3 linked regions of the Drosophila melanogaster genome follow. The protein of the gene in region 1 interacts with the protein of each later gene in a pairwise test. Each region holds a gene or a part of one and is shown in the gene's direction. Other genes may lie near its edges.

Region 1 (5,236 bases):
AGCCAGGACATGATGATGATCTCGAATTGATATATTGTTAATTGTTATATTTGTTTTATTGTTTTGTTACAGCTAACTTTTGTTAGCCGGCGCTCCTGAAAGGGCTGAATTAATAACGACCAAGGTGACAAAGGGGTTAATAAAGTCTATAAAAAAAAATTAAATAATTTTATTCTTTATTTACTGTCTACAGGCCGGAAGCGTTTTCTCTTGTACTTCAATAAATAGGAGTTTTTATACCCGTTTATCGTAGAGTAACTACTAGATTCGTTGAAAAGTATGTAACAGGAAGAATGAAGCGTTTCCGACATTATAATGTACATGTATCTGTATTCTTGATCAGGATCAATAGCCGAGTAATGTCCGTCTGTCTGTCTGTCCGTATGAGCGTGGAGATCTCAGGATTAAGCATGAATTTTCTAGAGACAAACCCGCAGCGCTAGTTTGCTTCCAAATATTGAAATTTTGAAAATTGAAATTAACAATATTTGATGTAGTTGTGATTGTGATACGTCAGCAATGTGTAGGTGTCTTGCTCTTAATGTTTGGGTCAAATCCCGAATGATACCCCTGAGTGTACTAAAGAAATTTATATTTATTTTATTGGAAAAATTTTAAACATAAAGTGGGCTTTAAAACTGTCTTTTTATTCTGTCTTTTTTCATTCTTCTCTCTGTAAACTCTACAAAAAAAAAAACAAGGGAGAATGCTATATTCGAGCATATATGTATGTATATAAAGTCTTAAGCATTTCCAAGCTTATCAGGAACAAGCAATGATCTACTCCTGCCTTTTAGTCGATTATTATGTAGCGAGTTAACCAAAGTCTGAATACTAGCCAACTTATATTACGTTTTACATAATACAAACTATAGACCACAAATAATGTATAAAAATCTAGAGGAAAAAATTGTGAAGCTCTTGGAGTCATCTATAGTTTTGGCCTGGCAACGCTCACCCAATAAATTATTGAACCTGGATACAAAATTGGCCGAGGCATTGAGTAAAGCCAAAGAAGCATTCTCATTGGATAGAACATTACACCAATTTCGAGACCAGCACGGTGAAAATGTTTATCACAACTTCGATTTGACATATGCGGTAAGCACGACTAGAAGGATAATTTAAAACTTTAATATATATGGACTATAGGTTTTTTTTAATCTCGCGGAGCAATACGAACGGAGTGAGATGCACATCGAAGCCCTCAATACCTACAGCATTATGGCCAAAAACAAGATGTTTCCACACGTCAATCAGCTAAAACTAAATATGGGTAACATCTACTACAGCATGGGTATTTACCAAAAGGCGGTTAAAATGTACCGCATGGCCCTTGATTCTGTACCAAAGAGCTTAAGTCAGTTAAGGCTAAAGATCCGTGAAAACATTGGAATCCTTTTTATTCGCATGGGCTCTTATTCAGATGCTGCTTCTAGCTTTGAGTTCATCATGACGGAGCGGGCAAACATTAGAAGTAGCATTCACCTCTTACTCTGCTACTTCGCCTTGGGCGATGTGGAGAAAGTAAAGTTAGCCTTTCGGAGACTTTGTGATGTCCAAACCGAAGCAATAGAATCGGATATGGAGAGTGAGACGAATATCATTAAACTTCAACAGCAGGCTGAGCCGATTCAACAATGTGGCGAAATCGACGTGCACCAGACAACGAACAAGACACGAGCTCGGTTATAAGCGCAGAAGGTGGAGGTAAACCATACGGTATGGTCCATACCCGTTTCTCGTAGAGTAAAAGGGTATACTAGATTCGTTGAAAAGTATGTAACAGACAGAAGGAAGCGTTTCCGACTGATAATAATATTTTAACAATTGAAATTGGGTTTTATGTTTTATATTAAATCAGATAACAATTAACTAAACTTATTCAAACTTTTATAGAAATGTCTTAGTATAAAATGATAAAATAAACCAAAATGATTTGGTTTAATAAATACCGCAACCTTCTTACATTATACATTTAATTGGTATTTATTCACCTCTTTTACGCATGTGCTGCTTATACGTGATCACCAAGGCAACTCAACCAAAACAAAGACCAACCCCCAAAACCGTTCATATTGATTGAGAACCTTATTATACGCGTGTAGTGCGGTGAGACAAAAATGACTTCTCAAATAACTGCTAACGGAACGCAAAGATTACCGGAGCCTGTTTCCGAACATGAAGCGGTTCCGCCTCCCCCACCCACGGCGGCGGGCAGACCCAGACCCCCCACTTCACAGCTTTTTTCAGTGAGTTTTGAAAAAAAAAAAATTTAAAACGCTGTGTAATTTCTGTAATTCAGCGCGGCAATCTGGCCAGCAGTCGGGCAACAGGAGGCGATAAATCAGGTCTTGCAAGACCATCAACAGCAGTCCGGGCTGTGGGCTACGCTGCTAATTGCGAGTCTGCTCATCAAAGGTTCGAACAATTTTTCCTGGAGAAGGCGAAGCAACAAACGCTCTCGTCAAGAGCCGCTGTGGATGCCATAAAGGATGTAAAGTAAGTAAGAAAATTATTTTTAGAGGACGGTTGCATCAAAGGGGTTATCAAAAATCGTAAAAAAAAAATAAATAGAAAGGTACTGAAGTTAAAGGTATACTGAATCTATATTCATGTATTTATTCACTTGCACCTTATAAACTTACAAGCATACAGAGGTGGTCAAAAGTATTTACACAACGTGCTTTTTTTCTGTTGTCAATTGTCAAGAAGTGGAAAAAATAACTGTTCATGGGCTAAAAATAGAAGCATTAAACTTGTCTGTTGTCAGAAGTATTTACACACAATTTTTAAGCTTCAAAATTATTTGCACAGTGCAAATTGAAGATTAGTCTAGTAAAGTTCTAGTTGATGTTGATCGCTTAATTGGAACTTAAACTAACTGTTAACAGTTATGTTAATAGATAAAACTAAGCATTAAATTTGTAAAATGGCAAAAACAAAGGAGCTATCAGTTGAGCATCGAGCCGAGATTGTCACTAAAATTAAGGCTGGTACTTCTGCATCCAAATTAGCTGAGTTATACAAAATATCACGTAAAACTGTGTACAATTAGGTAAAAAAAAAGGACATTGGATTGGGAATTTTGGAAAATAAAAAGAGAACTAACCGAAAAGTTGCATTGAACCCAAGAGACTGCAGACACATTATAGGAGTTGTACTATATAATCCCACCATAAGTCCCGTTAAAATTGCCGCAGCATCGAAAAATTTAGTTAGAGAACATATTAGCGATAGTACACTGCGTCGCAGAATGAAGGAAGTTGACATCAACTCCTATGTTATTCGTGCAGTATTTAATATTACCCCAAGAAACAAGGAAAATCGTCTGGCATTTGCCTTGGAGTAAAAAGAGAAGCCTCTCGAATTCTGGTTTGATATTTTATGGACTGATGAAGTTGCGTTTCAGTTTCAGGGATCCTTTAGCAAGCAATTTATGCATTTCCCAATACAACTAAAGGGTAATGCCGTTCAGCCAATCAATCGGTTTGGTGGTGTCACGGTGATGTTCTGGGGCTGTTTAAGCTACTATGGGTTTGGAGACATGGTACCGATAGAGGGTACAGTAAATCAAACAGGATACCTCCATATCTTAAATGAGCACGCATTGACCTCAGGAAATAGACTGTTCTCCAAGAATGACTGGATCTTGCAGCAGGGCAATGCTCCATGCCACAAGGGCCGAGTACCAACCAAGTTCTTGAAAGACATAAATCAGGCGGTACTTCCATTGCTCATATTCCATATAAAATATTTCGTTTAAATTCAATAAAAAAGGCAAAAATGAATTAAAAAAGCTGTGTGTAAATAATTATGAATTTTTTAACATAACATAATTTTTAAACATAGTGGAATTTAAAAATGTTATTTTAATTCTGTCTTTTTTCATTCTTCTCTCTGTAAATTTTACAAAACAACAAGGAAAAGTCTTAAGCATTTCCAAGCTTATCAGGAACTAGCAATGATCTGATCCTTTTAGTCGATTATTATGTAGCGAGTTAACCAAAGTCTGAATACTAACCAACTTATATTACGTTTTACATAATTCAAATTATAGCCCACAAATGAAGTATAAAAATCTAGAGGAAAAAATTGTGAAGCTCTTGGAGTCATCTATAGTTTTGGCCTGGCAAGGCTCACCCAATAAATTATTGAACCTGGATACAAAATTGGCCGAGGCATTGAGTAAAGCCAAAGAAGCATTCTCATTGGATAGAACATTACACCAATTTCGAGACCAGCACGGTGAAAATGTTTATCACAACTTCGATTTGACATATGCGGTAAGCACGACTAGAAGGATAATTTAAAACTTTAATATATATGGACTATAGGTTTTTTTTAATCTCGCGGAGCAATACGAACGGAGTGAGATGCACATCGAAGCCCTCAATACCTACAGCATTATGGCCAAAAACAAGATGTTTCCACACGTCAATCAGCTAAAACTAAATATGGGTAACATCTACTACAGCATGGGTATTTACCAAAAGGCGGTTAAAATGTACCGCATGGCCCTTGATTCTGTACCAAAGAGCTTAAGTCAGTTAAGGCTAAAGATCCGTGAAAACATTGGAATCCTTTTTATTCGCATGGGCTCTTATTCAGATGCTGCTTCTAGCTTTGAGTTCATCATGACGGAGCGGGCAAACATTAGAAGTAGCATTCACCTCTTACTCTGCTACTTCGCCTTGGGCGATGTGGAGAAAGTAAAGTTGGCCTTTCGGAGACTTTGTGATGTCCAAACCGAAGCAATAGAATCGGATATGGAGAGTGAGACGAATATCATTAAACTTCAACAGCAGGCTGAGCCGATTCAACAAATTGGCGAAACCGACGGGTACCAGTCTTTAAACAACGAACCAGTCACGGGCTCGGTTATTAAGGCAGAAGGTGGCGGTAAACTGAACGAGACCGTAAAGTTTGCAGCCACAGTGAAACATCGTTATGTTGTCCAAGCACTTAAGAAAGACGAGCTGGCCGTATATAGAAATGAACGTCGTAATGCCGTTAAACGATCTATTACAATGATTGTAGACTTAATATCACCTTTTATCGAAGATAACTATAATGATGGTGAGTACGACTGAGATAAAATACAGCAGGTAGGATAAAACATAAATTCAGGGTATTATAATAATTATTGTTGTATAATTATACCCGTTACTCGTAGAGTAAAAGGGTATACTAGATTCGTTAAAAAGTATGTAACAGTATGTAACCCAGGTTGCCA
Region 2 (5,520 bases), about 21 Mb from region 1:
CTTCAGACAGAAGGGCCTCAGACGCTAGAGAATCAGTTTGGTCAGGTTATGAGAACTGACAGGCAACATCTCTCACCACGCCCGAAGGGGCATTTGAGATTGTTTCTTTTTTTACACTGACACTATCGGTATGATGCAATAGGAGGCGCCGCAGATGCAATGAAGCACTCACCTGGATGACCCTCGCCAACGGACTCGGAAGTGAACAGGAATGTAGCTCCGTCTTCCATGTCATATGAGTTGCCATTGCTGCCGTTGCATCCGTTGGCGCTATGTCCGTTTGTCTTTTGCGGCATGTTGATGGGTAGTTTGTAATATGTAACTCGAAGTTTGAAGGGGCAATGGGGGAGCAGTGCTATAACCCGAGTTCCGGTCGGCTAAATTGTTGGTGGAGCTGGGGGAACAGAGAGAAAGAGAGGCCACATTAGCGGTTGTTAAAAAACGCTTAACGAAATTGATTTTCCGAACTCTTGCAAAACACATCTATTTTCGCATTCGCGAATCTAAGCTATAGGCCGCCTCGAGGCTGTTGGGATTTTCCGGTATTCGCACACTTTTCGTTATAGTTTTTTTTATATAATCGCCCTTCTTTTATGTTTTTATGCTGCGCGTTTGCCACAATCGTCGCTACATACATGAGACGCACGTTGAGCGGGTTCAAAGCTAAACTAGTCGCTAGGTGAGGGCTCGGTGCTGCTAGCTGTTTAAAATGCGTGTTCGACGTTCTAGCTATTAGTTCAACAAATTATACACACTGATTCTGAGTTATACTGGTTCAGCGACGGCAACCAAATCAGCGGCGCAGCCAACACACGTCCTATCTTAGCGACGGTTCTGAAGAAAAAGAGCGCAACTTTTTAATGCCATTCAGAATTTATACCTCCAACGAGAGAGCGGGCTTTTGCTTATCGTCGCAAACGGAGGAGGCGGTTCTCTTCGGCTGACTCGATTATTATTTTGAGACTTATTTGGGCGCTCTTTAGGGAAACTTTCCTAGCGTTCTCGGTACTCTCAAATGATTTTACTTCTTCAGTATCTCCACGTTTTTGGGTTTTAAGCAGCTGTTCCGCCGCCCAGCGTTGCCACCCCGCTCCGGAGTGAACTGTAGTGAATCTAGATCCAGATCCTTTATTTTATACTCACTGTGGTTTTGAACAAAGGATCAGACAAGATATGGATTATAGTCTCGACTAGCTTCCTGCTCAACCTGCGTTCAACTGCGGATGATTTTTACAGACGAATAATATTTATAAATTTTTGTAGACAGCATTTGAGAAGATGAGTCGGCAAGAAATAAGAGCTTATCAGAACAAAACTATGTGCTACCACGGCAGCCACCTATATACCTAATTTTTAAAATCTGTTTAGCATTGCTCTCTCGGCTTCTCTTATGTACAGCAATTGACATATACATATTCGATGATATAGACAATCGCTACACGAAGCGCAATTCGAAGCGAATTTTTAAACGAATGTCTGTATCTGTTGAAACCCTAGCTTTTCCCTAACATGGAGTGACTGCCCTTTTGGAGATGGATCGTTCGACACTATCTTGTCAAGGAAAGTCGTCAATTAGGGTTCTCATACTATTCGAACAATTTGTGCTTTTGAAAAAGTGCTTACGTCATGCCACAGCCAAGAAGACAAACAAGGTCTGCCAAGATCAAGGAGCCTGGTAATCAGTTTTTGCATGTACATTTTTTAAAATTCTAATACCCACTGAATATAACCGAAAACAACAAGCCCCATTATCTTTCAAATAAGGTGTGACCCCACGGGGCCTAAGAAGATCGCGTGTGCCTGAACGAACAGATGCGCAGGGCACATTATTCTTGAGCACAAATGGTGGGTGCTTGCGAACTGTAGATTGTGGCAATGCATTTATTTTACTGATTTATCGTCAGTTATTGTAATAGCCTTAACTAAACAATTTATCACTTTGCCAATAACAAGGTTTTTTATTATTTCACTTTTCTAATACATATATAATTTTCTTTTTGCCGTAAGAAACGTTCTCAATACGTAGACAAAAATATTTAAACTTAAAATGCTCAATTTTCAAGACACTTCACAAGAGCTATCAGCTACAATGACTGGGCAAAAGCCAATTATTTAAATAAATTCATTATATGGTAAAATATACTGCACGCAATTAAGTGCACAATTTTCTTTTGAATATATGAAAGGCACGCGCCAATAAGCCAAAATGATACGGCAACTCTCCCCGATATACGTCAGATAGGGCGATAAACAGATGTTTGTGAAAAAACAAATTGAACAAATAGTGAAAAGTTAAATGCGAGCGTTAATAGCGACCACGTCACGTTTTGTCGGCAAAAATGAGGGTTTGGGTAGCTTATAGTGCAGCTGCACTCTTACTGTTGGTGCACGCGGGTCCGGAAAGCATCAGTGGACAGGAGGTGCCCCAAAGCAAAACATCAAGCAACACCACCACTACAGATAATAGTAGCTCTATCCACACCGTTTCGGATGTCTTCGTCAACAGTCCGCTTGGAAATGTCACGCCCTCGATTTCTGCATCTGGTAATGCAAGCACCACGAAAAGGGGAAACGCATCCACATTGGTCACAGATCCGCCTCTAATCGATTCCCATGCTGTCGAGCAGGAGCACAACTCCTCACTCTCACTGTTTTTCGTCATCTGCGTTATCATGTTGGGCATCCTGCTTATCCACTCTATGCTCCAGACCGGGTTCCAGTACCTGCCAGAAAGCATTGTGGTAGTCTTTCTGGGCGCCTTTATTGGCCTTTCGCTGAACGTTATGTCTGGGCAGAATGGCAGTTGGAAACGTGAAGAGGTCTTCTCGCCCATGGGCTTCTTTCTGGTGCTCCTGCCGCCCATTATATTCGAGTCCGGTTACAATCTGCACAAGGGAAACTTCTTTCAGAACATCGGATCCATACTGGTCTTTGCCATATTCGGTACAACAATTTCTGCACTAGTCATCGGGGCGGGGATTTACCTGCTGGGCCTGGGGGAGGTGGCATTTCGGCAAGTTTAAAATAAATTGTCAATTTCATTCAATAATTTATCCTAAATTTTAGCCTAAGCTTTTCGGAATCCTTTGCCTTCGGTTCTCTCATCTCTGCTGTTGATCCTGTGGCAACAGTGGCAATTTTCCATGCTCTTGACGTAGACCCCATACTCAACATGTTGGTATTCGGCGAAAGCATCCTCAACGACGCCATATCTATTGTGCTGACTGCATCCATAACCCAATCCGCTAACGTCAATGCTGAGGCCAGCACTGGAGAAGCCATGTTCAGCGCGTTGAAGACCTTTTGCGCGATGTTCTTTGCTTCGGCGGGCATTGGAGTCATATTTGCACTAATTTCGGCTCTTCTTCTGAAGCACATCGATTTACGAAAGCATCCATCCCTCGAGTTCGCGATGATGCTAATGTTTACTTACGCACCTTACGTCTTGGCAGAGGGAATACACTTAAGCGGTATATCAATGTTGTTGACTATGACTCTAAAAGCTAAACATTTTTTTCAACTATAGGTATTATGGCTATACTATTTTGCGGAATCGTCATGTCCCACTACACGCATTTCAACCTATCCACTGTAAGTCATATGATATCCCTATTTTATATATTATTAAAACTTTTTTAATCGTAGGTTACCCAAATTACCATGCAGCAGACGATGAGGACACTAGCTTTCATTGCTGAGACCTGCGTGTTTGCTTATCTGGGATTAGCAATCTTTTCTTTTAAACACCAAGTTGAACTATCTTTTGTTATATGGGCCATTGTGCTTTGCTTAATTGGCCGCGCCTGCAATATTTTTCCGCTCGCGTTCTTGGTCAACAAATTTCGCGAGCATAAGATCAATAACAAGATGCAGTTCATTATGTGGTTTTCTGGCCTACGCGGAGCGATTTCCTACGCGCTATCTTTGCACTTGAATCTTGACAGCCAGGAGAAACGACACGTCATCATAACAACAACGTAAGCATATTCCGGATTGTAAAATAATGCTCAGTCATTGAAGAATTAAAATTTCAGATTAATCATTGTGCTATTTACCACGCTAGTGCTGGGGGGCTCCACAATGCCTCTGCTAAAGTACCTTAAGCCAGGAAAAAAACGGCGGGCACGCGGCTCTGGAAGGAATGCCGCTGAGGAGGGAGGTCGACGCAACGGCAGCGGTAGGAAGCGTTCAAAATCTATTTCCCTATCGAAAACTCGCGAATGGGGCCAGGCAATCGACTCTGAACACTTGTCTGAACTCACCGAGGAAGAGGACGTCACCTTTACTCAAGCGCGCGATCGTTTTGGGCGCATGGATCGCAAGTACTTTATTCCGTTTTTTACACGTCGGTTCAATAGTCAGGAATTGCACGAGTGCAAGTCACAGATGGCCGACCTGACTAACAAGTGGTACCAAGCCATTCGAGTGAGTCCATTGGATTCAGATGAATCGGACGAAGAGATAGGACTAGCGGCCAGCACAAGTCAAATTCATTTGACACGGTCGTAGGGATTAAATGGCTGTTGTGGGGGGAGCTCTGTATCCGTTTCGGACTGTGTTGGATAACTTTAGAAGCCAAAGGGAACGATCGTATGTAATGCTTAAGTTCCTCTAGTTAATATTTTTAGAGTTTTTATTTATATAGCGCGGTGATGGTTGTTATCTTGTGTATATTTTTTGTTTACAAATTTTCATTTTGTAAGATCCAAATGCAATGATTCATTCGTATCACTGTAGCTCCTTTATTAATCCGCTTAAAGCAGTATTACATTGCACACGACAGATGGTCTTCAAAATGAAAATTTGGACGTCACAAAAGCACACTACGTCAGTAATTTTAGTTAAAAATATTTATTCATACGAATATATGCTGTATTTGTGATTTTATACATTTTTGAAACCAAATAAATATCTAAGTGTGGTACGTGTAAAAAAATATGGTCATGCCCTGCTTTTTGAAATTCTAATTTATAATTACATATCAATTGATAATATTACCTATTAAAGTAAAATTGGCTACAAAAGGTGTGCGTTTTTGGTTACTTTTACAATTCTTCGTGCGTGGACTCTTCACCGAGCACCGTGGAGTTTGAATCACTGCGGACTGCAAACGAAGTACAAAAATCGTTAGATGTCTTGGGGGAATGTTAAAAGATTATGCTTTTCAAAACGCTCGTGTATATCATAAAAGGAAAGCAATGTTGACATGTCTTTTGACTTATAAAGACTTCATTATTAGTTCCTCCAACTGTTTTGTATCTATTTCGGGTTGGTGGCCGCCTCCTGCCTCCGAGTTGATCCAGTACTCGGAAACAGCAATGTACCCTGCCACTGCCGCCCCAACAATGCAACCCCAGGCAATATGAGTAGAGCTCTGGAAGATGACACAGGTGGCCACGCACATTCCGAAGTAGGTGAGCATTCGCGTAAAGCTTACGTAGTTGCTGCGTTGCTCCGCAGAAATATCTTAAATGATCGGAGGCGCAATACATACAGTGGACAATGCGTTGCTTAAAAGCA
Region 3 (3,661 bases), on another chromosome or scaffold:
TACATTTTTATGCAATCTGCCTAAGTTTATATACCCTAACTTCAATTATACAAAGCAATTTAATAGAAAAAAATCATAGTCTCGATGATTCTTATGATAAAAAGTTTTAAATTTGTATACACTAGTTAAAGAGTATAATTCTTTTAATACATATATTTCGGTCTTAGTCTGTTCACATCTGAACAGTATATATTTACTGCAATAAATATTCACAATCAACATATTGTCGAAGCTAGCTTTTTTTCCTCTTTAAATGTATTATTATTATATTACTCACAAGTGGGGGTAAGTTTTGCGGTGGTCGCCTTTCTGGAGCGCTATTCGGCGCCGTATACTTTTGATTTGTAATTTGGTTCTGTTTCACGTCTGTCCTCGCATGCTGCTGTGAACCCATCGATGATTCACGAATTGGAGGTTTAATTATCGGTTCTGGTGGCAGTATGCTATTGCTTATATGATCCCGTGGATAATTGTACTCCTTGTCGGGGGAAATTGTCTCCTCGGGTATGGATTCGTCATCCGTCGATGAGTCCAGCTCATCATTGCACCCAGGGCTTCGGTTTAATACAGATGTGCGCTTCGATGGCATTGGAAGGCTGGGTTTTGGCCGTCCCTTAAGAGCTGCAAGGGCCTGTTGCACAGCCTCTTGTCGTACTTCTAGGGGTCAGATGATCAGAGATAAAATGTTGTTGCTGTAACTTGTTCTACTAACCAGAATGATAACGTTTCTCATTGTGCGTTACTTTGCGCTGTGTGCGTCGTTGACGATGCTGACTATTATTAGTTGACTGTTGGTTCTGAAAAGCACTTGGTTCGCGAGTGTTCTGATACCCGGGATCGCCGACTGCTCCACCCTGCGGTCGCATATTTTCGTAGCCAGGAGCCCCAGCATTTCCGCTCTGTGGTGCCGATGACAAGCTCATGGCGGCTTGCTGATGGAAGTCAATTTTTTTGGAATGTCTTTGCTGCGAGGAGGACAGGGAGGGCACTTCAGTCACATAACTGTAGCCCTCGCTGGACACAATGACGCCGTCGTTATTGATGTTTCCGTGGTTGGTGCTGTTGTTGGCATTTTTAACGTTGTAGTATGGCGGTGGCGGCGTACTTTTCACTTTATCGCCTGTTCACAACAAAAGGATCAAGAACTTTCTGGTGACGACCAAACGACCAAATATCAATGTTTTCGAACATACCTTCTGGCTTCTTTAGGAACGGCTGCAACAGCTTCGCCCTTTTCTTTTCGTAGCCTTTCTGCGTAATGTCACCTAGAAAAGCAGATGGAATTGTTTTCTTAACGATTAATATGTCCGCTGGGCCTCGTCGTTTTTTGAAAAGCGTGGAGTAGCGACTGAATCATGTATTCATGCTGAAAGCCACACAACACAACACACACACTTTTCTTTTAATTGGTCGGTCCCCGACTATATGTGGGCAGCTTTCAGCGAAAGAAAAGCCGAGAACAGCACTTGTAATCCCATTTGGGGGCGACAAGTATCCAATGATTTGAATCAGACCAGACTACGTCTGCCACAGTTTTCACGCGATTTTCTACAACTCAGTCGCCGCACTTTAACAACAATATTTTATTTTTGTGTGTATTATTCAAATAGGTATACCTTCCGACAGCTCTAAGTCCAGTTCGGCGAGCTTCTCGCGGACGTAGCCAGGCAGCGAGGCAGTGTGCTCCATGGCAGATGAAAAGTGTGGCTTTAGGGTTTTGTTCTATCCTCTTCCTTGGAGGATTCGTCTAAACTTTGGCTGGTCGCAGTACACAAACACACCCAGACACCGCTACTTTCCCACTTCGTTGTCAAAAATCGATCGATTTGCCATTTATTCTATTTCACATTTTGCCGACGCAAATAAATACATCCGTACTTGCGCAGCACCAGTACTTTGGGTTAGTTAGAAAACACGATATTACGAATGTCTTTTACGAATTTGCACAATGAAAGTAAACAAAGAAAAATAGCAGTACAAATCGATTTTATGAACTAGCGAAAAATTGATAACTATTTCTTCATACTCTTGGGACAACGGCCTTTTTCAATTTTCGAGATGCGGTCACACTGCCCAAGTAATCGAACCACGAATTTAAGTGTTATTTTTAATGATATTAGGCATAGAACCATTACAATTAAAAAGCTCTATTATTTATTACTTTAATCGCTTGTCTCTTAAAATTCGATTCAACAAAAGCAATTGGTGGCATTTTGCTAGGTAGCCCTGAAATACTGTAGAGACTATCGATATCTGCACCTAAGGCGCCTATTATCACATTCGGATTACGAAGACAAAGACATGCGAAACCTGGATACGATTAGTGGCGAAGAAAAGCAAAGTCCTGCCAACTTAGTCTAAATTGTTTCTAAGCCGGCTGCCTATACGCCTGCGTTTTGAGCAAAGCGGTAGTATCTTTTTCGGAACCATCGATAGCTTGTCATCTCCAGTAAAAATGCGTGAGTTTATTTAAAAAAAACGCTAGGCATACAACTAATTATTCTTATGATGCAGAGAACTTGAAGATCCAAGAGGAAGTCAATTCATTGATGCGTCTAGGCCAGCACTTCGATGACCAGTTAAAGCTGGCTAGCGTCGAGTTGGGCGATTTCTCGGACGATGACCTGGCGCTCCTTGACAAATGCGCCCAATATTATTCACTTTTGCACATTCACGACATCAATCTGAACTACTTGCGCGACTTCTATTGTGCCAAGAAGAGGGAATGCATAGAAAACCGGCAGACCACAGTGCAGCAACGCGTAGAGCTGCAGCGCATCCTCTCGTCCATCGAGGAGGCGACTAGGGACGTAGTTATGTTGGAGAGGTATTGGTGAACAAATCCCTTTAATAGTTGAATCCCTGACCAAAACCATTCTTCTGCAGATTTAATGCTGCTGCGGAAGAGCGGCTCATCCCGGATATCGTCGTAATGCAGCGAAACGCCCAACAGCTTGCAACAAAACAGGCCTTACTGGACCGGCAAAAAACCCTTAAGATCCCAAAGGATTTTAGCATTGAAAGTGTCATCGAGAAGGTAGATTCGCTGGAGCAGCGCTAAAGAAGTGAATTGCTTTCGTTTTTAAAAAATTATTTAATTGTATTTACTCAGTAATGCAAAACACTTTACAAAAACATAAAATCTGCAAATTTTAAAGATGAATGTTGAGGTTTACAACTTGGAACACTACACAATCAGAGGGTGCACTTATTTTGGTTATTGTACGCATTTTAAAAACGTTCCAATTGTTGCTAGGTTGTGTCAAATATTTATTTAAAGTATCATGATAGGAAAACTAGAAGACCAAATAATAATTTGCCAGCTGCTTAAAGCATACAAAAAGTGTACCGTGTTCTTCCATGCCATTGCTCATATGTATGTATTTGTGTATTTCCAATGTGGTATATGTATCATATATATTGGTGTATAGATAGAATTAGTAATTTCATATTCTTTAAGTTCTTGCTTGTTGTTATGTATATAAAGGGCGGGTATGTGGCAGACAATCTTTTCGGCTAGCAACGCGCTCCACGCCACAGGCCTACTCCACGTTTCCGGGCATCTTTTAGCGGAACTCGGGCGCATCATCTTGCGTTATGTCACCGTACTTCCAGATGGCCAGATGCGCGACCCGAGCTGCTTCCTGCGCGGCTTTGTACT

The links. The genes of interacting proteins can lie anywhere in the genome.
Region 2: the proteins of nompB (region 1) and Nhe1 interact in a two-hybrid assay, tested with the Drosophila melanogaster proteins (one large-scale study listed by BioGRID).
Region 3: the proteins of nompB (region 1) and wac interact in a two-hybrid assay, tested with the Drosophila melanogaster proteins (one large-scale study listed by BioGRID).

What each region holds. Positions count from the first base shown.
Region 1 is NT_033779.5:21,586,243-21,591,478, reverse strand, and holds the start of nompB (no mechanoreceptor potential B), read left to right. Parts: upstream 1-2,055; 5' UTR 2,056-2,123; coding exon 2,124-2,252; intron 2,253-2,305; coding exon 2,306-2,502; intron 2,503-4,060; coding exon 4,061-4,286; intron 4,287-4,337; coding exon of another isoform or gene 4,338-4,358; coding exon 4,359-5,079; intron 5,080-5,236.
Region 2 is NT_033779.5:103,462-108,981, reverse strand, and holds Nhe1 (Na[+]/H[+] hydrogen exchanger 1), read left to right. Parts: upstream 1-2,249; 5' UTR 2,250-2,339; coding exon 2,340-3,013; intron 3,014-3,066; coding exon 3,067-3,470; intron 3,471-3,526; coding exon 3,527-3,591; intron 3,592-3,645; coding exon 3,646-3,977; intron 3,978-4,034; coding exon 4,035-4,509; 3' UTR 4,510-5,020; downstream 5,021-5,520. Other genes in the region: Sam-S (S-adenosylmethionine synthetase), read right to left, coding at 173-296; Creld (cysteine rich with EGF like domains), read right to left, coding at 5,219-5,466.
Region 3 is NT_037436.4:255,937-259,597, forward strand, and holds wac (wee augmin), read left to right. Parts: upstream 1-2,239; 5' UTR 2,240-2,455; coding exon 2,456-2,459; intron 2,460-2,469; exon of another isoform or gene 2,470-2,514; coding exon 2,515-2,827; intron 2,828-2,886; coding exon 2,887-3,061; 3' UTR 3,062-3,161; downstream 3,162-3,661. Other genes in the region: DIP2 (DISCO interacting protein 2), read right to left, coding at 278-657, 713-1,120, 1,194-1,265, 1,617-1,689; Tudor-SN (tudor staphylococcal nuclease), read right to left, coding at 3,567-3,661. UniProt on the Drosophila melanogaster protein: As part of the augmin complex, plays a role in centrosome-independent generation of spindle microtubules.